5 linked regions of the Macaca fascicularis genome follow. The protein of the gene in region 1 interacts with the protein of each later gene in a pairwise test. Links are inferred from orthologs where the notes say so. Each region holds a gene or a part of one and is shown in the gene's direction. Other genes may lie near its edges.

The links.
Region 2: the proteins of ZNF446 (region 1) and ZSCAN9 interact in binary tests that used the Homo sapiens proteins (3 or more experiments, as listed by UniProt). The link is inferred for Macaca fascicularis from reciprocal best matches to the Homo sapiens genes ZNF446 and ZSCAN9.
Region 3: the proteins of ZNF446 (region 1) and ZNF24 interact in binary tests that used the Homo sapiens proteins (3 or more experiments, as listed by UniProt). The link is inferred for Macaca fascicularis from reciprocal best matches to the Homo sapiens genes ZNF446 and ZNF24.
Region 4: the proteins of ZNF446 (region 1) and PGBD1 interact in binary tests that used the Homo sapiens proteins (3 or more experiments, as listed by UniProt). The two-hybrid records come from large-scale screens. The link is inferred for Macaca fascicularis from reciprocal best matches to the Homo sapiens genes ZNF446 and PGBD1.
Region 5: the proteins of ZNF446 (region 1) and ZNF496 interact in binary tests that used the Homo sapiens proteins (3 or more experiments, as listed by UniProt). The two-hybrid records come from large-scale screens. The link is inferred for Macaca fascicularis from reciprocal best matches to the Homo sapiens genes ZNF446 and ZNF496.

Annotation. Positions count from the first base shown.
Region 1 is NC_088393.1:66,204,035-66,208,872, forward strand, and holds the start of ZNF446 (zinc finger protein 446), read left to right. Parts: upstream 1-1,443; 5' UTR 1,444-1,514; exon of another isoform or gene 1,515-2,899; 5' UTR 2,900-2,939; coding exon 2,940-3,281; exon of another isoform or gene 3,282-3,357; coding exon 3,358-3,547; exon of another isoform or gene 3,548-3,807; coding exon 3,808-3,902; exon of another isoform or gene 3,903-4,838. UniProt on the Homo sapiens protein: May be involved in transcriptional regulation.
Region 2 is NC_088378.1:144,968,109-144,971,151, reverse strand, and holds the end of ZSCAN9 (zinc finger and SCAN domain-containing protein 9), read left to right. Parts: intron 1-1,244; coding exon 1,245-1,861; 3' UTR 1,862-2,180; downstream 2,181-3,043. UniProt on the Homo sapiens protein: May be involved in transcriptional regulation.
Region 3 is NC_088392.1:54,500,759-54,505,666, forward strand, and holds the start of ZNF24 (zinc finger protein 24), read left to right. Parts: upstream 1-1,486; 5' UTR 1,487-1,583; exon of another isoform or gene 1,584-2,188; intron 2,189-3,475; exon of another isoform or gene 3,476-4,525; 5' UTR 4,526-4,608; coding exon 4,609-4,908. UniProt on the Homo sapiens protein: Transcription factor required for myelination of differentiated oligodendrocytes. Required for the conversion of oligodendrocytes from the premyelinating to the myelinating state.
Region 4 is NC_088378.1:144,898,918-144,903,876, reverse strand, and holds the start of PGBD1 (piggyBac transposable element-derived protein 1), read left to right. Parts: upstream 1-1,683; 5' UTR 1,684-2,103; intron 2,104-3,940; exon of another isoform or gene 3,941-3,960; 5' UTR 3,961-3,999; coding exon 4,000-4,395; intron 4,396-4,959.
Region 5 is NC_088375.1:1,752,560-1,757,337, forward strand, and holds the start of ZNF496 (zinc finger protein 496), read left to right. Parts: upstream 1-1,780; 5' UTR 1,781-1,861; intron 1,862-2,003; 5' UTR 2,004-2,219; intron 2,220-3,580; 5' UTR 3,581-3,694; intron 3,695-4,043; 5' UTR 4,044-4,080; coding exon 4,081-4,470; intron 4,471-4,778. UniProt on the Homo sapiens protein: DNA-binding transcription factor that can both act as an activator and a repressor.

The DNA of each region.
Region 1 (4,838 bases):
TCAGGAGCAAAAGCATCTGTCAAGTATATACCCAGAGAGTTACATGAAATCATTTCTGTGCCTTTGATAGATGCTTCTTGAACAAAGTTTCTGCCCTGAGCCCGCCTGACCCCTCAGGCTGGGCTCAGTGCCCTACCTTGTCTTCCCACCAGCCTCCTCCCTCCATCAGGCTCCTTTCCGTATCTGCTTGTGCCCCTGTTGTCCCTCAGTTTGTCCACCCTCTTCCAATCTCCCCCTCCCCAAACCCATGACTGGTCAGTGGCCCCCAGCCTAGGCTCCCGCCTCCACGCAGGTCTTGGCCCCTCAGCTGACCTCCCTCCAACCTCCCTCTCTGCTCTTACTTTTGAGTAGGTAGTGACTGTAAAAGTATCTCCGGGCTTCTAGGTCAAAAGGTCAGACTGAACACCTGCATCTCAGTGGGCTCAGAAATCCACTGAAACCAGAGGGGAGTATTTAAAACACATAAACCCACAAGTATGAGGATGGTGAAAGAGGAGTCAGGAGCAATGGCATGCCTAAGCTAGACATGGATGAGAGCTGTCACTACGTTAGGGAAGGCCAAATACTGCGTGGCGGCATGGGGAAGTGGAGAGAGTTCCCACCAGGCTGACTCCAGAACTGCAGAAGGCTGAGAACCAGCAGCCCAGAGACGGGAGACCTATAACAAAGCTGCCTGGGGAACAGCTACTGAAGAAGCCCTTAACGCCCCACTGCTCTCCCCACCTGGTGGAGGGTGAAAGTTTTTTTGTTTTCTGAGACTACGCATAGTCCCAGAAAAAAGACCTAAGCACCTCATCCCCAAAAACAACCTGAGGCCGCCTCTGGAAAGCTCCGAGTTCACAGGTCTTACCCACGCACATGCTCAGTGCTTCCAATCAGCGATTAAGGCCATTGCTTTTCATCCGGAGCAGGCAGCAGGGATTCCCAGGTATCCAAAGCAACCAAAACAGGCGGTGTAATTTAGGACTGAATAATTCATGGCTCGGCCACTTTAAGTGTGGAAGCAAAACTGACCCCACAGATACAGAAAACTAACACTGCTTATTGGGAGACACTAGTGTCACCCTGTCTAGTTCTGCTCCCCAAATTAAATAAAAGGGAAATAAACAGTTGAGCACGTCCCATCAGCCTGGAGGGAAACTTCCGCCCCCAACTTTGTAGGACTGACATCTGAAGACGTCAGAGACTGCGGTCACAACCGTCGGTACCTCCTCAGGGCGCTTAACAGGTCAAAGGCGGCCCTCGCACCCTCCCGCCGGGAGAAAGCCCAGGCTCAGGGTGGTCTTCCACACCACCGCCTCTCCCGGGACCACTTGGAAGCAAGCGCCAGCGAACTACTCGACCCAGGAAACCACTGGGCCGCCACTTCCAGCCTCTTCGGAAGTCGAGGCAACGCGCCTGAAGGTTGCCATGGGAACAGCTGGAGGCGGGCGGATATGCCCTGTTTTCTGGGGGCTGCCCGCGGGAAATGGCGTGGGAGCGGCGAGGGCCAAGCAAGCGCCCCCTCTGATTGGGTAAAACCTCCTGCCTCTCTCCTCACCTGCCAATAGGAACCGGTGCACTGTACAGACGCGCGGGTTTACAGCATGGGGAGAGCTGCTCCCAGGGCGGAGGGAGTCCACATAACGCGGTCTCTGCGGCACCTCCTAGAGGAACAGAGCGCCTCTCAGGCGTCAGCGGCTGCTGCAAATGCTAGTCCGCGGGCCACGGCCGCCCCTGTCTTGCGGACGCTCATGGGAAACGTAGTTCAAAGGGCGTGGGTGGTGCCTTCGGTGCAGGCGAGAGATTGGTCGGCGCGGCGTCGCCGGGGCAACTCCCGGCTAAGGCTCCCCGCGTTGCGCGGCGCCGCTTCCGGGAAGCGGCCTCCCAGCAACGGCTCCGGGGTAGAGGTGAGCGCAGGCTTCCAGAGGCGGCGCAGCCGTTCCACCCCGTGGGAGGGTTTGGGGCCGCCCTCGGGCCCGCACAGCTCCTGCTCTCGGCGCCCTGGGGGCCCGCCCACCTCCCGACAGGCCCCGCGCGTTGGCTCAGCCTTCACACGGGCCTTTCCTCCCCCTCAACACCGCTCCGGGGGGCCGGCCCGGGCACGTCCTCTTGGAACACCTCCCTCTTGCCTTCCCCTTTGGGAAACAGACCCCGAAGTTCGAGCATCCCTCGGATAGGCCGGGTATCAGGCCTGGTCTCTCAGGCCAGTCCAGGTGGGCGTGTTTCACTCCAGACCTTCAGGGCCGGGATGCTGTGGCCATCCCTCGACTCACGCAACGTGGAACGTTGGCCCCGTTTTTCTTGGCGTTTGCCTTTCGTTTTTACATGCACGGGTCCCGGCAGTGTGAGTCATCCACGGTTCGCTGTGGTCAGCGAGCACGGTGTCCACATCGGCCCTTGCCTTGCCCCATACGCCCCACGTGACCCCTCCCCAGAGCCAGTCCTAAGGGAGGTCCCACCCAGTCAACATCCCCGAGATTGTGGAGGGAGACTTGCCCCCATACTTTACAGCCTGGCTCCACCTTCTAGCCCCTGCCTCCCTGGACCACTCTCCTCCCACCTCGGCTAGGCACTGTCTGTGGCTCCTCAGCCTGGCCCTGGAACTCTGATGACTGTTCTTCTCCACCTCTTTACCGTCATCTTCCAGCAGTCACCTATTGGACCTGTTTGCAATTTCCGGGAAGCTCCTTGGACACCTTGCGTCCAAGCATTTGTCCCCGAGACTTCCTCCTGCCCTCATTTGCCATCATTGTTTAGCTCCCGTGACCCTCCTCCTTCCATGACGCTTTCTTGGCTTTACCTCCTCTGGCCTCAGAGTACACTTGGTCCTGGTCTCAGCTCCCTGGGCGGGGCCTGGTGTCTGCCTTTCCCTGGCCAGATTCTCTTGGCTGACATTCTGACCCTTCCTTTTCTTTAGGCCCATCTTGACGATTCCAAGACCACCCCCTTGAGCAAAAATGCCATCCCCTCTGGGTCCCCCATGCCTGCCCCTCATGGACCCAGAGACTGCCCTCGAGGAGCCTGAGACTGCCCGCCTCCGCTTCCGAGGGTTCCGCTACCAGGAGGTGGCAGGTCCCCGAGAAGCCCTGGCCCGGCTGCGTGAGCTGTGTCGCCAGTGGCTGCAGCCTGAGGCACACTCCAAGGAGCAGATGCTGGAGATGCTGGTGCTGGAGCAGTTTCTGGGCACACTGCCTCCCGAGATCCAGGCCTGGGTGCGCGGTCAGCGGCCAGGCAGTCCTGAGGAGGCCGCTGCCCTAGTCGAAGGACTACAGCATGACCCTGGGCAACTGTTGGGCTGGGTGAGTGTGGCTGGCATCAGCTTCTTGGAGGGATAGACCCTGGCTAGAACCCTTTTGACTTATTTCTTCTCCTCAGATCACAGCCCACATCCTGAAGCAGGAGGTGCTCCCTGCAGCTCAGAAAACAGAGGAACCATTGGGGAGCCCCCACCCCTCAGGGACAGTGGAGTCCCCTGGAGAGGGTCCCCAGGACACCAGAATAGAGGGGTCTGTCCAGCTCAGCTGCAGTGTGAAGGAGGAGCCCAATGTCGATGGACAGGAAATGGGTGAGATTGGGGTCCACCCGGGATGGAAGGTTCCTGGAGGAAGCGTGGACACTCCTGGCTAGGGTGGGAGTCCCAGGAGAGGTTGTGTCAAGGCCGGGACTCCTGAAATGAATGTGGATGTCCCTGTCTGGGATGGGGCCCTGGGAGGCAGGAGCCAAGGGCTGGCTACGTGCCATGTCACACAGCAGAGGATTTCCTTGTCTGCCATGGCTCATGTGGGCAGCCCCTGACACCACCTTTCCATCTGCCCCACTTTTCAGCACCCTCCAGCCCTCCACTTGCAGTGCAGTCCCCTGAGGGGCACCATGGACACCAAGCAGCAGCCTCCACATCCTTCCACCCTCCCAGGATTCAGGTGAGCGCTCCAGGTGGGAAGCGTAGGCCCCAGGTGTGGGAAGGGAGTGTCCCCATGGCTGCCCTCTGCCTGGTGGTTTTCCAGGCTCCTTGGCTAGTGACTCTTTGCTGCCCAGAAGTGGAGTAACAGCTGTACCCCTCCACAGGCCCTGGGGCAGAGGGACAGACTGGTGATCTATTATTGAAAAGGATTTGAGGCTGGACATGGTGGCTCACACCTGTAATCTTAGCACTTTGGGAGGCCGAGGTGGGTGGATCACCTGAGGTCAGGAGTTTGAGGCCAGCCTGGCCAACATGGTGAAACCTCATCTCTACTAAAAATACAAAAATTAGCCAGAAGTGGTGGCAGGCGCCTGTAATCCCAGCTTCTAGGGAAGATGAGGCAGAACAATCGCTTGAACCCAGGAGGCAGAGATTGCAGTGAGCCGAGATTGCACCACTGCGCTCCAGCCTGGGCAACAAGAGCAAAACTGTGTGTCAAAAACAAAAAAAAAAAAGGATTTGGGCCTCAAGCCATGAAAATGCAGTTTAGAGTGGCTGGAACTGGTGGGCTTGGCTTCCTCACCTCCGGAGAAATCAGGTGGGAGGTTTGCTGCTCCCAGAGGTCCTGAGCCAGAACCTGGGGATTTGAACGTTTGCGTGTAGCTGGGGAGGGGACAAGATGACCAGCTGTGGCAGGACTCCCCCACACCTGAGACCAGATGGAGACACTCTTCCTGGGACATGCCCAAAGTCCCTTCTCTCCCAGGGGTTTCCTCAGAGGCCACCTGTTGGCCCTGGAAGCTCAGCTTGAGGCCCCTGCTACCTGGATCACTTGGTTCCCAAGTGTGGGCAGCAAGGCCTTTTCCTCTCCCAGCTCCTCTGCTTCTAACAGCTCCACTGGGAGCTTCAGCAGCATTGCTGGTTGAGATGTGTTTCAAGGCTGAGAAGTCCTTCC
Region 2 (3,043 bases), on another chromosome or scaffold:
ATATGCTGGACAAAAGGAGGACTCAATGTCCTGGGTGAGACAGAGCCAGATGGCATGAGATTTCATCATACTAGTCAGAATGGTGCCAAATTTAAAACTTAAGAATTGTTTGTGCCAGGCGCGGTGGCTCACGCCTGTAGTGCCAGCACTTTGGGAGGCCAAGGCAGATGGATCATGAGGCCAGGAGTTCAAGACCAGCCTGGCCAGCATGGTGAAATCTCATCTCTACTAAAAATACAAAAAAAAAAATTAGCCGGGCATGGTGGCATGTGCCTGTATTCCCAGCTACTCAGGAGGCTGAGGCAGGAGAATCGCTTGAACCCAGGAAGCGGAGGTTGCAGTGAGCCAAGATCACACCACTGCACTGCAGCCTGGGCGACAGTGAGGCTTCATCTCAAAAAAAAAAAAAAAAAAAAAAAGAATTGTTTGCTTCTGGAATCTTCCATTTAGTATATGTGAACTGTGGTTGACTGTGGGTAGCTGAAACTTTGTAGGGTAAAACCACAGATAAGTGGGGACTACTGTGCTGCCTGAAGCACCTAGAATAGTAGAAGTTTAATACTTGTTCTGAAAATGAATGAATGAATACATTAAGTAACTTTCCTTGGAAAGGGTCACTTTGAGGTTATCTCAGAAAGGAGAGAGAGGTCTAAGGGAAGACTCCAGAGAAGCCACCCTGATCTTTACCCATCCCTCCCCATGAAAAAGTATAAAAAAATACTGCCAACTGGGTGCAGTGGCTCATGCCTTTAATTCCAGCATTTTGGGAGGCCGAGGTGGGTGGACCACCTGAGGTCAGGAGTTCGAGACCAGGATATCCAACATGGCAAAACCCCGTCTATACTAAAAGTACAAAATTAGTTGGGCATGGGGGTGCGTGCCTGTAGTTTCAACTACTTGGGAGGCTGAGGCAGGAGAATCACTTGAACCCGGGAAGTGGAGGCCACAGTGAGCTGAGATCACACCATTGCACTCCAGCCTGGGCTCCACAGCAACACTCTGTCTCAAAAAAACAAAACAAAACAAAAAAACAACTCCCCAGTTGAAGTCTACGTGGGGATGGACTGACCTGCATTTTGCCAAAGAGGGCAAACTTTCCTCCTTACCTAGGGGAAGGTGTTACCACACTAGCCCTTCTGTTTCTAGCCCACTTGCTTTCGTTTGATATATTTTTATAGACATAGTCACCTTCCCATATGCTCAGGGAACAAGTGACATTTACCTAGACTTTTTCTTTGTTTCAGATGAAATAACCAAGACTGAGGACATACAGTTGGTGCTAAGGAAAGACTGTCCTAAGATAGTGGAACCACATGGGAAAATGTTTAATGAGCAGACCTGGGAGCTATCACAGCAGGATCCCCCACATAGAGAAGTTGGTGAACATACGGACAGGATAGAGAGGCAGTGGGGAAACCTCTTAGGAGAGGGGCAACACAAATGTGATGAATGTGGGAAGAGCTTTACTCAGAGCTCAGGTCTCATTCGACATCAAAGAATTCACACTGGAGAAAGACCTTATGAATGTAATGAGTGTGGGAAAGCCTTCAGTCGAAGTTCTGGTCTTTTTAATCACCGAGGAATCCACAATATACAGAAACGGTATCACTGTAAGGAGTGTGGGAAGGCCTTCAGTCAGAGTGCAGGTCTTATCCAGCATCAGAGAATCCACAAAGGAGAAAAGCCGTATCAGTGCAGCCAGTGCAGTAAGAGCTACAGTCGGCGTTCATTTCTCATTGAACATCAGAGAAGCCACACAGGGGAGCGACCTCACCAGTGCATTGAATGTGGGAAAAGCTTTAATCGACACTGCAACCTCATTCGCCATCAGAAGATCCACACACTGGCTGAGCTGGTCTAGGGCTTGCTATGAGCAAGTTTTCCAGATCACCAGCCAAGTCATGTGGGGTAGCTTGAGGTTAGAAAATGCCTCTCTCTTCCTTTCTCCATTAAGTGTGTTTGAAACAAATAATGACTTACGGCCCAGGGACTTCCTAAAAGGAAAGTTGGGTGTTTGAAGCTACTGTTTTCCCTTTTGTTCATTTTACCTCTTTCTTATTCTTACTAATTGTGTCCCTCTTATTTATTATTTATTTATTTATTTATTTATTTTTTGAGACGGCTGCTAAACCCTTCTAATAATATAATAAATGGCACTGCTAGAGCCAGCATGCCTGAAAGATTTGGTGTCTGTGTTTAACTACAAAGGATAACAGAGTTATACTGATGGTTTATAACAATTGGGTCTTTGGTGTTCCCCGTGACCAGGGTCTACACTATAAACACCTTTTCCACCTTACTGCTTCTCTCTGATACCTATGTGACTCTCCCTTGGAAAGTGACCAGCATGGGCTGTGTGTTTCAGTGTCTGCAGTGTGTGTCCACTTACTTAACCATAGTTGGTCCTCACAACAGCCATACAGGGAAATGAGCGTTATCATTATCCCATTTTACAGGTGAGGACTCTAAGGCTCAGAAAATCCAGGCATCAGAGCCAAGGCTGAAACCCTGAACTTTTGTTTTTAGTAATGCTTTAATTTTGGAATAATTTTAGACTTACAGAAATGTTGCAAAGATAGAGTTCTCATATTCCCTTCACCTAGATTCCCCTAACGTTAACTTAAAACATCGCATCTTTTTAGTTAAACCTTGTCTTTTAACTCCAAATCTCAATTTCTTTACGAAGTCATGCTTCATACTGATATCAGATTTCTACATTTTAGTCACCTGGAACTCCCTCAGAGTTTTTCTATCACAACTTCAGTGTTAGAAAGTGATCTGTATCCTGAGTACCAGGCCACATCAGAGAACTGGATTAATGCAGATAAGATGCTAGCTACTGTCCGAAATGTCCTCAGTCTTTCTCTTCTGTTTGCTTGGCTTAGGTCTAGAGAAAAAAATTTCTTCCCTGTGTAGATCTTTAAGAAAATCGATTGTACGTGAGGCGTGGTGGTACAAGCCTATAATCCCAGAGCTTTCGGAGGCCAAGGCAGCAGTATTGCTTGAGGCCAGGAGTTCGAGACCAGTCTATGCAACATAGTGA
Region 3 (4,908 bases), on another chromosome or scaffold:
GACTTCAGCTAGCCTTTATGAATCAGAAAAGAGGGAAAAGTTGGGAAGAGCAGCCAAGCTGCTTGGGGGCCGTATCCAAGTAGCAGAGTGAAAAGGCTGGATTTCTGAAGCTTCCTGCAATGAAGAGAGAAGTGTTAGCACGGGTTGTGAGAAAGGCTCTGGTCGGAGTGAAAAGCAATGGTATACCATCAGCTGCTGGCTTACTTGCTGTCTTCATGCACGAACCCAGCAGAGCCTGACGGCACTTTGCAGAGGGCATTTTCCCGAATGAGGCAAAAAGTCAAAGCCTGAGGAACTTGAAATGCTTATGTTAGGTTGGATCTACACTTTTGACCAGTCCTTAAACAACAGGGCTCCTTTGTGTGGTGTCTGATGCCAATCATGTGACCTAACTAAAGGCAGCGATGTAACCATCCCACAATTCATTTATTTATTCAACAAACATTTATTGTGTTCTCTATTTACCAGGCAGTCAGCTTCCGGGGTCTAGGCTGGGATGCTGTGGTGAACAAGACAGTCAAGGTCCCTGCCCTTAAGGGACTTAAAGGCAAAACAAAACAAAAAACAAGTAAATAAATGAGATCACTTCCATTAATAATAGTGCCATGAAGGGTCATGTGTCATGAAAGGCTGGCGGTGAGGCTGAGGATCTTGGGCCACACGGAGCTGAAGAGCTGAGGTGACTGGGGGCGCCAGGGTCTGGGGGTGCGGGCAGGCAACAGACCATGGGGGACTTACAAGACATTATAAGGAGTTTTTATGTCATAAATTATTATGGCATAAATTGGAGGGCTTTAAATAGGGGAGTGAAGTGGTCTGATTTGTAATAAATGATTGCGTCAGCAGCTGTTTTATGGTATAAAATGCCCAGCTTGAAGATGACCATGCATTCTACAAATTCACCGTGACATCGTTGCCAAAACCCTTAACCTGTCTCATCTAGTTTTCCTGACAAATAGGTCAGAATAAAGCTCCGTGACATAACTAGTGGGAGCCAAAGATTTGAATCACGTCTTGGTTTCAAATCTTGCTACCCACAAATGAGTTGTGAGCTCTTGTCAAGTTACTTACTGTATTTGTGCCTCAACTATCTCAGCTGTGAAATGGGGATAATGAAAGTTCCTACATCATTTATTTGTGAAAAAATAAATGACATGTAAAGCACGACGAGAGCGCCTGGCACAATGTAGTAAGCTTTCACAAATACTCGCTTTTATTCCTTCTTGCAGGGAATTACTTAGAGGATCCACAAGATAATGCACGTGAAAGGGCTTGCGAAACTGTAAGGACTATCTTAATGGTAGAGTCCTCTACTTTTCTTTTAAACGGTCCAGAGGACGCTAGGCTGTTCGAGGCGCGAGGCCAAGCGCAGCCTCAATGCGGTCATTGTCGTGGGGCCGCCCCTCCCCCGCCCGGGGAGCTTCTCCATGGCAACGTGGGCTTTACCTCTCCCCGCCTCCTCAGGCCCGCAGACCGGAAGCAGCCCGTGCCGGGGGCTTCTGGGAAAAGGCTTGTGAACGGTGTTTCTGCGTCTGCCGTGGACAGCGAAGCTGCTGCGGTTCCTGAGCCAGAGGTTTGCGCCGGTGTGCGGGGAACGTTATGGGAGGGAGGGGGACACCGGGCTAGGGTCTGCGGACCTCTTAGCAGGAGTCGGCGGGGAAGCCTTCCCGGGACCTTCCTCAGCTTCCCGGGAGGCGCGGGGAATAGGCCGCGCTCTCCGCGCCTAGCAGTTGTGGGGCGGGGAGAGGTAGGCGGCAGGCTTGCTTGGGTCTTCGGCGTCTGCAGAGTGCTCTCTAACCCCCGGTGTCCTCCGAGACCCTCACCTTCCCCCTCCCCCACCGGCCGGTTTTGTTCTATTTCGAGGCCCTGGCGTCTCGCGGAGGGTTCTGGGAGTCGTGTTGGGAGGAGGTGGTATGGGGCGAGACTTGCGCGGGGCTGTTGGGATTTGTAGTCCCACCGGCCGCAGGCGGAAGTGCCGTGGTTCCGACGCTGTTGTCACAGGGTGGTCTTTGGTCATGTGAAATCCGCTGTCCTGAGTGCTGGGAAGAGGGGCTAGAGGACTGGCCGGGATCGGGGTACACAGCAGGTCTATGCAGCAGTAAGGTGGGCGATCACCTGGAACGAGGTGCTCTGACCAAACATTGTCGGGACCGTTGGCCTTCCCTCCATTTCCCACAAGCAGTATGCTCTACAGCATGAAAGGAAGAGAAATATATGTAGAAATAGTTGCACCGTTGATAAGCAGGGTCTTGGAATAGGCACAAATCAATGTTGGCTAGACCTTATTTATAAGGCCACCACACTCCAGGGTATTTAATTAAACCAGTATGTATTACTTGTCTGATAAGGCCTTTTCTGATTCCAGTCTTCATCTTGCTTGGGTTACGATAAGTTTTTTTAAGTTGTTGTTCATAGGCTGCATGGCTCATTGCTAGTATGTGTCGTAAACAACAGCACGGGCATGATAGTGCAAATAATAAAGGTCCAGAAACAGCATACAGTTTCCCTGAAGGTAGAACTGGGGAAACTGTGAGTCATCCAGTGTAAGGACAAGACACTGGACCACTGCAAGAAGTTAAGGTGCTAATGCGAGTGCCTTTTCTTAATAGAATTTTCTGTGATTAATGCCTATCATTATAAATATAAATGTACGTATGGTGTGGTGGAAGACTGAATATTTACGTATTATGTGCAAGATAATTTTTCAAAATATGTGATCTGTTTTTCACATATGATCTTTTCAATATTATGTGATCTGTTACTCAGCAAGTGAACATTTTTTCCACATATATTTTAAGTCCAAGGAGTTCTTAAATACCTTATTTTTTAAGTGGTAAAATTTTTTTAAGCACATAATAATAAAGCAAACCTTCGTTTTGGTTGAAACAGGGTTTCACTATGTTGGCCAGGATAGTCTCGATCTCTTGACCTCGTGATCCGTCCGCCTCAGCCTCCCAAAGTGCTGGGATTACAGGTGTGAGCCACTGCGCCAGGCCCAGCTTTTTGCTATTTTTAAATTCATTTTTTAGAGACAGGGTCTCACTCTGTTGCCCAGGCTGGAATGCAGTGGTGCGATCATAGCTCAGTGGAGCCTTGAACTCCTGGTCTTTAGTGATCCTCCTGCCTCAGCCTCCTATAGTGCTGGGATTACAGATGTGAACCACTGCACCTAGCCAGTTTTTATTTTTTTTTCCTTTTGGAACTTTTTTTGTTAAAAACTAAGACAAACACATGCATTAGCTTAGGCTTACACAGGGTCTGGATTATCAATATCATTGCCTTCTGCCTCCCTATCTTGTCCCACTGGAAGGTTTTCAGTAGCAGTAACGTGCATGGAGCTGTCATCTCTGTGATAACAGTGCCTTCTATAATAGCTCCTGAAGGACCTGCCTGAGGCCATTTTGCAGTTAACTTTTTTTTTAATAAGTAGAAGGAGCACACTCTAAAATGTATAGTATGAAAAGTATAGTAAATACATAAACAAGTAACATAGTCGTTTATTGTTGTTATCAAGTTTTATGTACCATACATAACTGTATGTGTTAAACTGGCAACACAACAGGTTTGTTTACACCACCATCACCACAAACATGTGAATAATGCATTAACCTTACAACAGCTACAGTGTCACTAGGTGAATCTTGAATTGTTCAGCTCCATTATAATCTTATGAGAGCACTGTCATCTATGTGGTCCTTCATTGACCGGTCCTTCATTGACCCAAACATCATTTTTTTGTTTGTTTTTTTTTTTTTTTGAGACTGAGTCTCACTCTGTCGCCCAGGCTGGAGTGCTGTGGCCGGATCTCAGCTCACTGCAAGCTCCGCCTCCCGGGTTCCCGCCATTCTCCTGCCTCAGCCTCCCAAGTAGCTGGGACTACAGGGGCCCGCCACCTCGCCCGGCTAGTTTTTTGTATTTTTTAGTAAAGACGGAGTTTCACCGTGTTAGCCAGGATGGCCTCGATCTCCTGACCTTGTGATCCGCCCGTCTCGGCCTCTCAAAGTGCTGGGATTACAGGCTTGAGCCACCGCGCCCGGCCTCCAAACATCATTTTGTAGTGCATGACTGTGTTGGGTTTTTTTTAGGCCATCTAGTCTGTTGAAACTACTCAACTCTGCTATTGTAGCGTGAAGTATGAGTAAGTACAATTTTTTATGGACACATTCATGTTAATTTCGTATCATTTTCACTTGTCATGAGGTATTCATTTGACTTTGGGGAGCTCCATTCCCTAAATATCATTAGGTATTCATTTGATTTTAGAGAGCTCCATTCCCTAAGGCACTGTGGTGAAGACCACAGCCATTTAAAAATGTGAAAATTATTATTGGTGCAAGAGTTGTACAGCAATGGGTGACAGGCTAGATTTGGCCGCGAAGCTGTAGTTTGCCAATTCCTAGTGTAGGTTATTGACTGGAATTTTTAACTCCATCAAAGAACAAGTATCTTTTACTTTTACCAGTGTAAGTCCAAATTCTTAGGATATTTTTGCTTATTTATATATCTTTTATTTCTTGTGCCTCAGGAGTGCCTGTGAAGAAAACGGGGTATTGCCCTGAGGCTTATATTCTGCCTCAGTTGTATTTTCTTGAAATATTATAAATCAGAATGTCTGCACAGTCAGTGGAAGAAGATTCAATACTTATCATCCCAACTCCAGATGAAGAGGAAAAAATTCTGAGAGTGAAGTTGGAGGAGGATCCTGATGGCGAAGAGGGATCAAGTATCCCCTGGAACCATCTCCCAGACCCAGAGATTTTCCGACAGCGATTCAGGCAGTTTGGATACCAGGATTCACCTGGGCCCCGTGAGGCTGTGAGCCAGCTCCGAGAACTTTGCCGTCTGTGGCTCAGGCCAGAGACGCACACAAAAGAGCAAATCTTGGAACTGGTAGTGCTGGAGCAGTTT
Region 4 (4,959 bases), on another chromosome or scaffold:
CACCAATATGATGCCACAAGTGCAAAATTTCACACCTGACCTCATGTGACAGGTCATAGACAAAATGCAGTCAAAACTGTTTCGGCCAGGCACAGCGGCTCAAGCCCGTAATTCCAGCACTTTGGGAGGCCAAGGCTCCTCACCTGAGGTCAGGTGTTTGAGACTAGCCTGGCCAACATGGCTAAACCCCATCTTTGCTAAAAATATAAAAATTAGCCGGGTGTGGTGGCACGCACCCGTAGTCCCAGCTGCTCGGGAGGCTGAGGCACGAGAATTGCTTGAACCCCGGAGGCGGAGATTGCGGTGAGTCAAAATTGTGCCTCTGCACTCCAGTCTGGGCAACAGAGCAAGACTCAATCTCAAAAAAAAGACTTTGTTTCATGTACAGAATTATTTAAACTGTATAAAATTAGCTCTATGTGAGTAAGGTATATATGAAACAAATGAATTTCATGTTTAGACTTGGGCCTCATCCCTAAGATATTTCATAATGTATGTATATATTCCAAAATCTGAAATTGGAAACACTTCTGGCCCCAAGCATTTCAGATAAGGGATACTCAACTTGTTGTTGAAATCGTACAATATGTAGCTTTTCAGATTGGATTCTTTCACTTTCTAGTATGCACTAAAATTTTCTCCATGTCTTTTCATGCCTCGATAGCTCATTTTTTTCATTTTTTTCTTGTTTTCTTTTTCTTTTTTCTTGTTTTCTTATAAACAGATGTTTATAGCAGCTTTATTCATAATTGCCAAAACTCAGTGGGTAAATGAATAAATAATGGGTCTGTTTTTAAAAGAGTGTTTTATATTTTTACTATTGAACATCTTTTCACATGTTAATTTGTCACTTACCTTGTTTTGTGTATAGTAACATTCATATCCTTTACTGATTTTTCTACTAAAGTCTCCTTTTACTCTTAAACAGAAGTGCCCTTAAAAATCAAATAGGGAACTTGCATATCAACATTTTAAATGCATATGTCCTTTGGCTGATCAGTTCTAATATGTGGCATTTATCCTAGAAATACATTCTTAAAAGAATGTAAAGGTATTGAATGATGTTCCCTCTAGCATGGCTTTTAAAGAAAAAATATAACCTAAGTATGCATCAATAGGATAGTTAAGTAAATTATGGAACACCCATACAATATTACTTAGCTGTTAAAGAATAAGCTGATCTGTGAAGATCTCCAAGCTGTCTTAACCGAAAAGAGCTAAGGTGCAAAATTACATTATGATACCATAAGTGTTTTTAAATGTATAAATGCTTATTCACTAAACAAAATGTTTATTACATGCTACTGTGTGACAGGTAGTGTCCTAGATAAATATGCACAAAATACAATGGTTAACTCTAAAGAGTGGGACATTTTTCGTTTTATGGTCCTTCTGCAACTTGACTTTTTTATTGTACGTATATTATGTATACTTAAAATAATTTGTACAGCTTACTATAATGGTCTTTTAATTGATCTGTTTCGCCTCCTAACCAGTGATGACCCCGAAGACAGACATTTACCACTCTGTTGGTTTTTTATTGAAATGATGTACATAAATGTGGGGCGTGCTTGCACCGTCCGGATGGGCCTGAGGTCCGGCAGCGGAGAGCGACCTGGGCGGGGCGGGAGGTGGCAGTGGGGGTCCTCCCGGATCACCAGAGAGACGAGCGGCCGTGCTCCTAGAGAGGCAAGGAACCCGCCAGACTCCGCCACTCGGCTGCGGGCGCGGCGAGTGGAGAAGCTTTTGTGCTGGCCCAGCTGCCGGAGGCGCCGGCGACACCCATCAGCCCCGCCAGCCCGCCAGTAGCACGGCTTGGGCTCTGGGGAAACCGGCGCTCTCGACTGGGCAGCCCCGGGCCTCTGCGCTCCCTCGGGAGCCTTTCACGAGGTCGGCTACGTCTTTGTTGTGCGCGTTCCTGAACTTTTGGTCCATTAACCAACAATTAGACACGCAGGTATTCAGTGCCTGGCGCGGTGCTAGATGCTGGGTGTAATCTCAGAAAAATACATTCTGGGGTGCGCCTGAGGGTGCTGGCTGCTGGCATCTCAGGTGCTTTACGTGCATTCGTGAAGAAGTCCATCAGTATTTGTTGAATACCAGGTACGTGCCGGGCTTGTAGAGTCTATGCAGAGATAAACTCCTGTCCTCAAGAACCCGGGTGGGGATGGGCTGGGTGATCTGTAATACGAGATGGAGGAGATGAAGGTTGGGAGCAGTTTTCCATGGGAACACCCATCTCTATCTGTGTGGCTTACTTTTCCTGTCTATATGTTAGGGTTAGGGGTGGCCAGGGAAGGTTTCACATAGAACATTTGCGCTGGCCCTTGGGATTTTACCCTTAGAAGGGGGGTCCTGACTGTATAGAGTGGGTGGAAAAAAAATTGAGTACTTAGCATGGCAGTGAGATAAGGAATTTGGGAAGACCATGGCTTTCTTGAAAGTAGGAACTAAGTCTTTTATTCCAGAGTTAGCTTTATGCCTGGAAAACAATGAGATGCTCCACAAATGTTTATTGAGTGACAAACAAATCAGCAAAATCCAGTAAAGATTAGATCCTGGAGAGTTTGAGTTTACTTCAACGAGTTTAATGAAAACTTTGTATGTGTTTATGTGTGTGTAAGGTATGTTGAATATGGTCAGAATTGTGCTTTAGGGAATATTAATCCAGTGACCATAGAAGCGGGGAATTGGGCAGGAATACCATAACATTATTGTGACAGTGAATGAAAATGATAGTAAAATAATAAGGAAAGAATGGCTGCAAGAGGCATTTTTAAGAATTGACTTGATTCACTGATTGTATATAGAGGCTGTTTAAAAGACTGAATGCATGGAAGATGATGGTGATGCCAGTAGAAATGGAGAAATACGGAGTGAATGCAGCTTTGAGGAACTCTGATCTTAGTTTGAGATCTGTTGAAATTATAGTGCAGGAGAAGCCCACAGCTGCTGGCATTTCAAGATGTGGGTTTGGAGTGCAAAAAGCAAGCTGGAGCCAAAGATTTGAGTCTTCTTGGGAACAGAGATATATTGAAAGTGTGACTAAGGAGATCACAAAGGAAAAAATGAAGAGAGGGAAGAAAAGAACTTGATGCATTTCTACTGTTTCAGTTATGTGTTGTTGCATCAAAAATCAAACTCTAAACTTAGTGGCTGAAAACAAGCTCAGCTTATTGTTCCTCAGGATTCTGCAGGTTGACTGGGTAGTTCTACTGGTCTCACCTGGAGTTACTAATAGAGCTGCATTCCGCTGGTGAATTATTTGAGCACTAGGCCCGGCTGGGTTTTAGCTTGGTCATTTTGGTTCTCATCCACATGACCTCTGTCTAGCTAGCTTGGGCCTCTCACAGCATGGCAGTCTTATGGCAGTGAACCAAGAGCTACAGCAGCACTCTCTCTCTTACAATGTCATTTCTGCCGTATTCCATTGGTCAAAGCAAGTCATAGGCCAGAACAGATTCAAGGGAAGGAAAAATAGACTCCACCCCTTGATGAGAACAGTGGCAAAATCTCATCACAAAAGGTATTTGAGGATGGGAGACTTTGGAAGCAGTCTATTACACCTACATTTAAAGCGGAATATTCAGTGAGAGTTACACAGATATAGATGACCTTTGAGACTGTATTATTTGCCCATGAAGGCAGCCATCTGCCTCCTCAATGGGTAAAATGATCCCTTCTCCCCAGCTAAAGTGCAAGCTTCTTGAGCATTCTTATTGCTAACGCTTCTTCCCTCATATCCTACATCCCTTACCTCTGGACTCAGACCCTTTAGTACTAGTTCAAAACATACTTCTGATTCATTTCACTGAGAAATAGAAGGAAGCAGGCTCAGCTTTTGAGCACTACCTACAGTGGGTACAAAAATATAAGTAGATTACATACAGTTTTGAAGGTCTTAGAATTTGTGTGTTGCTGATCAATTCTTATGCCTCAGATCTCTATTTCTGAACACAGACCCCCAAGCTAAGTGAAGCTTTAGCCTCTAAACTCAACATGTATGAAGCTTTGCCAGGCCCTGCTCCTGAAAATGAAGATGGCCTTGTGAAAGTGAAGGAGGAAGATCCCACCTGGGAGCAGGTGTGCAACTCACAGGAGAGCAGCTCCTACACTCAGGAGATTTACCGCCTGCGCTTTCGGCAGTTCTGCTACCAGGAGGCTCATGGACCCCGGGAAGCTCTGGCCCAACTCCGAGAACTTTGTCATCAATGGCTGAGACCCGAGATGCACACCAAGGAACAGATAATGGAACTGCTGGTGCTGGAGCAGTTCCTGACCATCCTGCCCAAGGAGCTCCAGCCCTGTGTGAAGACATATCTTCTGGAGAGTGGAGAGGAGGCAGTGACCGTGCTGGAGAATCTGGAGACAGGAAGTGGAGACACAGGACAACAGGTGGGAAGAAAATGTGTGTGGTGGTGCGGGAGAAGAACAGGGGGACATGTATCAGTTGATGTTTAGCTTTTTATTTTGAAATAACTTCTAATTTATAGAAGTATTAGAAGAATAAAGAACTCCTGTAAACTTCATCCAGATTTGCCAGTTAACATCTGTTTCATGAAGTCCCATTGTTGTGTACACACTTGTGCAAGGAAGTGCATCTCCCCCAATATGCATATGTACATGTATACACGCACATACATACATACACACATACAGTATTTTTTTTTTCCTCAAACCATTTGAGAGTTAGTTGCAAACACTATATCCCTTTACCTCACTGTTGCCCAGGCTGGAGTGCAGTGGTACAATCATAGCCTCATTGCGGTCTTGAACTGCAATGGTGGAAGGCTCAAGCAATCCTCCCGCCTCAGGCTCCTGAGTAGATGAGGCTACAGGTGTATGCCACCATGCCTGGCTAATTTATCTTTAATTTTTTGTAGAGGGGGTAGGGTCTTGCTGTATTGCCCAGGCTGATCTTGAACGCCTGGCCTCAAGTTATCATGCTGCCTTGGCCTC
Region 5 (4,778 bases), on another chromosome or scaffold:
AACAGCCCACTTTGTGCCTCAAAAGGTGAACAGTGAGAGGCACAACTGGGCAGGGACGTGTCAGGTCAGGGGAAGAAACTGAATTGGGTAGTGGGGATTAACTGGATACTGTCTGCCAGCAATTTCTGCCTCCTGCATTTTACCTGCTTTAGGGTTGCAAGGGGCAGAGCTATGAACACAGATGCCCACTCAACAGCCAGTTCCTGGGCCAGTCACAGGGTTGGGAGCTGTGGCACCAGGGCTCTGGAACCCCACAGACTAGGATGTTTGCCAAAGCACCTAAGCCCTACCAGCCTTCCCACTTCCTCTCCTCCATGTCACAGTTCCTGGCTGGTGTTCCTGAGAGCAGGCTGTACATGAGTCCTGTAAATGTCAGTCCAGTTAAGTCAAAGGGGGTGGCTCCTCCTTGCACCTGTAGGCTCCAGCTAAAATCTGTGTGGCCCTGCCGGGCATCTGGCTGTCATCTGGGAAACAATCACTGTTCACAAACAAGGGCTTCACTCCTTCGCTTGGTCCATCTCCTGCTAAAGTCAGAATGTGAACATTGACAAACAGCGGCTCCCAGTAACTCTGCTACTCAGAAGTGATTATTCCAGCAGTTCAGAGGAGGAAGTGGTGGTGCCCAGGGCCACGGGATTAGAAGAGTAACAGAGCTAAAGGATCCTGTGCCTCAGTCCAACCACCTTGTCCCCACTTACTCAGCCGGGCCACTTTCTCTGGGGAAACCGATTTCCTTCTGCTTGCCCTTGAAAGGGGATCCTAAGGAAATCGGAGCAACGGGCAGTAGCTACCCTCTGGAAGATGGAGAACCTTCTCCCCTTCTGCGTGGGAGAATCCAATTTCGGTGCAGAGCAGATGGAGAAGGGGCCATGGGAATCAGGCCTGCCCAGGGACCGGGTTCACACTTTCTCTCAAGCTCTGGAGCCTGAAAAATGACCACTCCCCGGGGACGACCCATGTCAGAATTTGGGCTATATTCAGCACAGTGTAGCAGCCAGCAGCCCTGTCTCAGGGTGGGGTCCGGAGGCCCTCATTCCTGCTTGCCCCTCACTGCCACATGACCTTGGGTCAGAGTCCCTCATCCTCTCCCTCCGCCACTGCGCACAGCGGTAACCGTGTTCACTTCTGCGAGCCCCGTGACCCCCACTCAGGGCCAGGACTCACGGCAGACCCCCTGCGCATCCCTCAGGGTCGTCCCGAGGCTCGGAGTGGCCTCCGGCTGCGCGGCCTTTCCTAACGCGGGGACTCCGCACGTGGGCGCCAGGCCCGGAAGGCGCGGGTGCGAGCGCTACCTTTGGCGTCCCGCAGCGACGGGAGGGGCTGGGCGGCCCGGAATTCGGCTGGCGGGGGCTCGCAGGGGGCGTCTGAAATGAGGCGGCCGACGGCGCGCGGGGCCTCCTCCCTCCGCTCCATCCCGCACCCCCAATTCCAGCTTCCATCCCAGCCGCGCCTCCCGGTCGGCCGTTCCGGGCGTCCACCGGCCCGCGTGTCCTGGGGGCGCCGGAGAAGGAGAACAGCGGAGAAAAGAGCCCCGGGCTGACTTTCCGGACCGGCGGGCCCGCGGGGAGGACCGGGCGCGGCGACGTGGCTGACCCACAAAGCCCCCGGCCCGGCGGCCAGGCCCAGGCGCGCGCGGAGCTGGGCGGGCCGGGGGTGTCGGATGTCACCCCCAGCGCACACCTCGGCCGGGGGGCGGGGGAGCGAACCACTGAGATGCGGAGACCTCCCCGGTCCTAGAGCGGAGCAGGAAGTGTCCCAGGGGAGGGAGCCGGAGGGCTCCGGCCTTTCCTTTCCTCGGCGTCCGGCGGGCTCCGGCAGTGGCCAGGCCTGCGCCGCCCGCCAACAGGGACGAGTCGCGGCGGTGAGTGCACCCCGGCTCCCGCGGCCGGCCCCGCCCCGCCCTCCTCGGCCCGCGCCCGGCCTCCGCGGCGCCGCCTCCCGGCCCAGAGCCCAGCGCTCAGGAAGGTGCGGGCGGGGGAGAAAGCAACACCATTGTTTTTCAGGCGCCTCCATTTGCCCCCGAGCCGAGCCGTGGCGTTCCGGATGATCGGGAGACGCGGTCTGGACGGGCCGGGAAAGGAGCCGGGCGCCTGCGGAGACGCCGCCTCAGCGAGTACGCCCGGCCGGGCGGGCCGGGAGGATGAGGACGGCTGCCCTGGACTTCCGCCGCCACAGGAGGGCTTTCGGCCGGACGCCGGGAGGGAGCTCCGGGCTGTGAGGTGAGGAGCCCCGGAGCCGGCGAGACGGGAGACGCGCGTGTGAGGGAGACCGAGGGCGCGGAGGGCGCGCTCCCCCTTCCCTGGCCCGCAGCGACCTTCTCCTTCCCCTTCTGCCGATCCGGCTCGGTCCCTCCTCCGCGAACGGCTGGGAGCTCGCTCCGCCCCTGCGGGGCCCTCCTCCGCCTCACTCACGTTAGTTCATTCATCAGGCGTCTCCTCCGAGCCTCCGACGCGCCAGGTGCCGCCGTGACAAAGACGGACGGGGCCGTCTGGTTGGAGACGATCCGAGTGGCAGCCCGGGTGGGCGCCGGTGCTCCGGGGGGGCGGACCTGAGTAGTCCTGGGCGCTGCAGGTGTGTGATGGGCGCCGCAGGGGGCCGCCGAGCAGGGCGGGCGGGGCCCACCCCGGGCTCCAGATGCCGGAGCCGCCCTGGAAGGGAATCCGGTGGTGGGGAGCCCTGTAATGCGTCCAGCCCGACGCCTCCACGGCCCCCATATGCGTTTCTGTATGTGTTGTTACTTTGGAAAGCAAGGAGATTCAGAGCAGTGGGTGTTTCTGGAACCACTGAGTTGTTTCGTAGCTTTTCTGGCATCACTTGTCTTCCTGTGAAATGGGAGTGAGGCCCGAGTCCCCCTTGTGAGCTGTTGGAGGATAAGGCGCGGCCACGCTGGACAACCTCCTGCAGATGGAGGAGTGGCAGGCACTGCCGGTCCTAAGGATCACAGAGGCCTGATGGCAGAGAAGGGCACCGTGAGTGTCCCCATGTGCCCTTTCACGGGTCAGTGTTCTAGGGTGGGAGTCATGAACACCAGCCAGGTATACTGGTTGCTGGTCTCTTTTGCCACCCTGTATGTGTCGGCTAGTTGTCTGCACACCAGCGGGGAGGTGGAGGGACCCCTGAGGCCCACCTTGAGGGTGTGGCAGCTGCAGTGTCCAGGGGTTCTTTGAGGGCTGAGCTGTGCCGTGACGGACCCACTCTCCTGTCCTGGCCGAGGAACGGCTTTCGCGGGTGTGCCGTTGCCTTGAATGTGGTTTGAAGAGGTCAAGGATAGACAAGAGGGTGGAGGCGAGGTTGAACGTCAGGCAAGTGTTGGCAGAAGGTTCATAGGAAACCACTGATATTTCTAAATGCAGTGTTATTTGTCCCCCGTGGACTGCATGTGGCTGTCTCATGTGATGTTCCCTGTGTCTGGGTATTTTCCCTGCCTCCCGTTGCAGACTCTGTTGGGCAAAGCTGATTCTGGCTGGGTTGTCCATCCAGCACTGAGCACCATCAGCCCTCTGCCACCAGCAGGATGGATTTTCCATTCCTGGATGTGCTGGAAGGCTCATCCGATGCATGTCTGTCTTTGTCTTTCCAGCTCTATTTGTAAAGGTCTTGAGAACAAGAACAGTGACTTCGGCTGCGGAGCTTCAATATAGTGGCCTGCTTGGCCTGCCCATCTCGGGTCTCCCGGAGGACCCAGCCGCTTAAGGTACCAGAGAGTCTTGATTACATCTGCATGTGGCGCTGTTGGTTTCCTGGGATGCTCAAAACACCAGTGTCACGTTGAAATGCCACCACTTTCTCCCAGATTTCCTGCCTTGTTCATCCAGTCACCCGCTTACGGGAGTCCACACGTAATGGTACTGATGGGGGGAGGGTATCTTTTTGTCTGTTTCATTCTGTGTGTAAAGACCAGCCACACCGACACTCCCTACCTTTCCCAGGGCTTCTCCAAAGGGCTGGTCTCTGAGGGCATTGACAGTTTCCTTGTCACTGTCCCCCAGAAATGACCACAGGAGACCAGAACACTGAAGCCAGTGATTTCTGTTTGGAAATAGGGTCGTCTTCTGCTGCTGACCCCCATCAAATCCCATCATGCCCACAGCCCTGTGCCCCCGAGTCTTGGCTCCGAAGGAAAGTGAGGAGCCCAGGAAAATGAGGAGCCCACCTGGAGAGAACCCTAGCCCCCAAGGGGAGCTTCCCAGTCCCGAGTCCTCTCGGCGCCTCTTCCGCCGTTTCCGCTACCAGGAGGCGGCGGGCCCCCGGGAGGCCCTGCAACGCCTCTGGGACCTGTGCCGGGGCTGGCTGCGGCCTGAGAGGCACACCAAGGAGCAGATTCTGGAGCTGCTGGTGCTAGAGCAGTTCCTGGCCATCCTGCCCCGGGAGATCCAGAGCTGGGTGCGGGCGCAGGAGCCTGAGAGCGGAGAGCAGGCTGTGGCCGCGGTGGAGGCACTGGAACGGGAGCCCGGGAGACCCTGGCAGTGGGTGAGTAGAAGGGGTGGGGCTGGACGGGTAGAGATCTGGTGCTTAGACATTTTGACTGGGCCATGCATGCACTGGCCGGGGAATGAGGAATTCCACTGAGAGCCGTGTACTTTGGTTAGGACCAGACTAGAGTTTCCTGAGAAAGCCAGTTTTACTCCCTGAAGCCTCTAATTTGGGCATGATGGTGTCATGCCCCTTTACGGCCCAGTCCAAGGCCTAAGTGGAGCCTTTGGTGGGCAGCTGTGGAGTGGATGGTCACCAGGCCCAGGGAGAGATGGGACCTCTTTGCCTAGCTCTGAAAAGCTTTC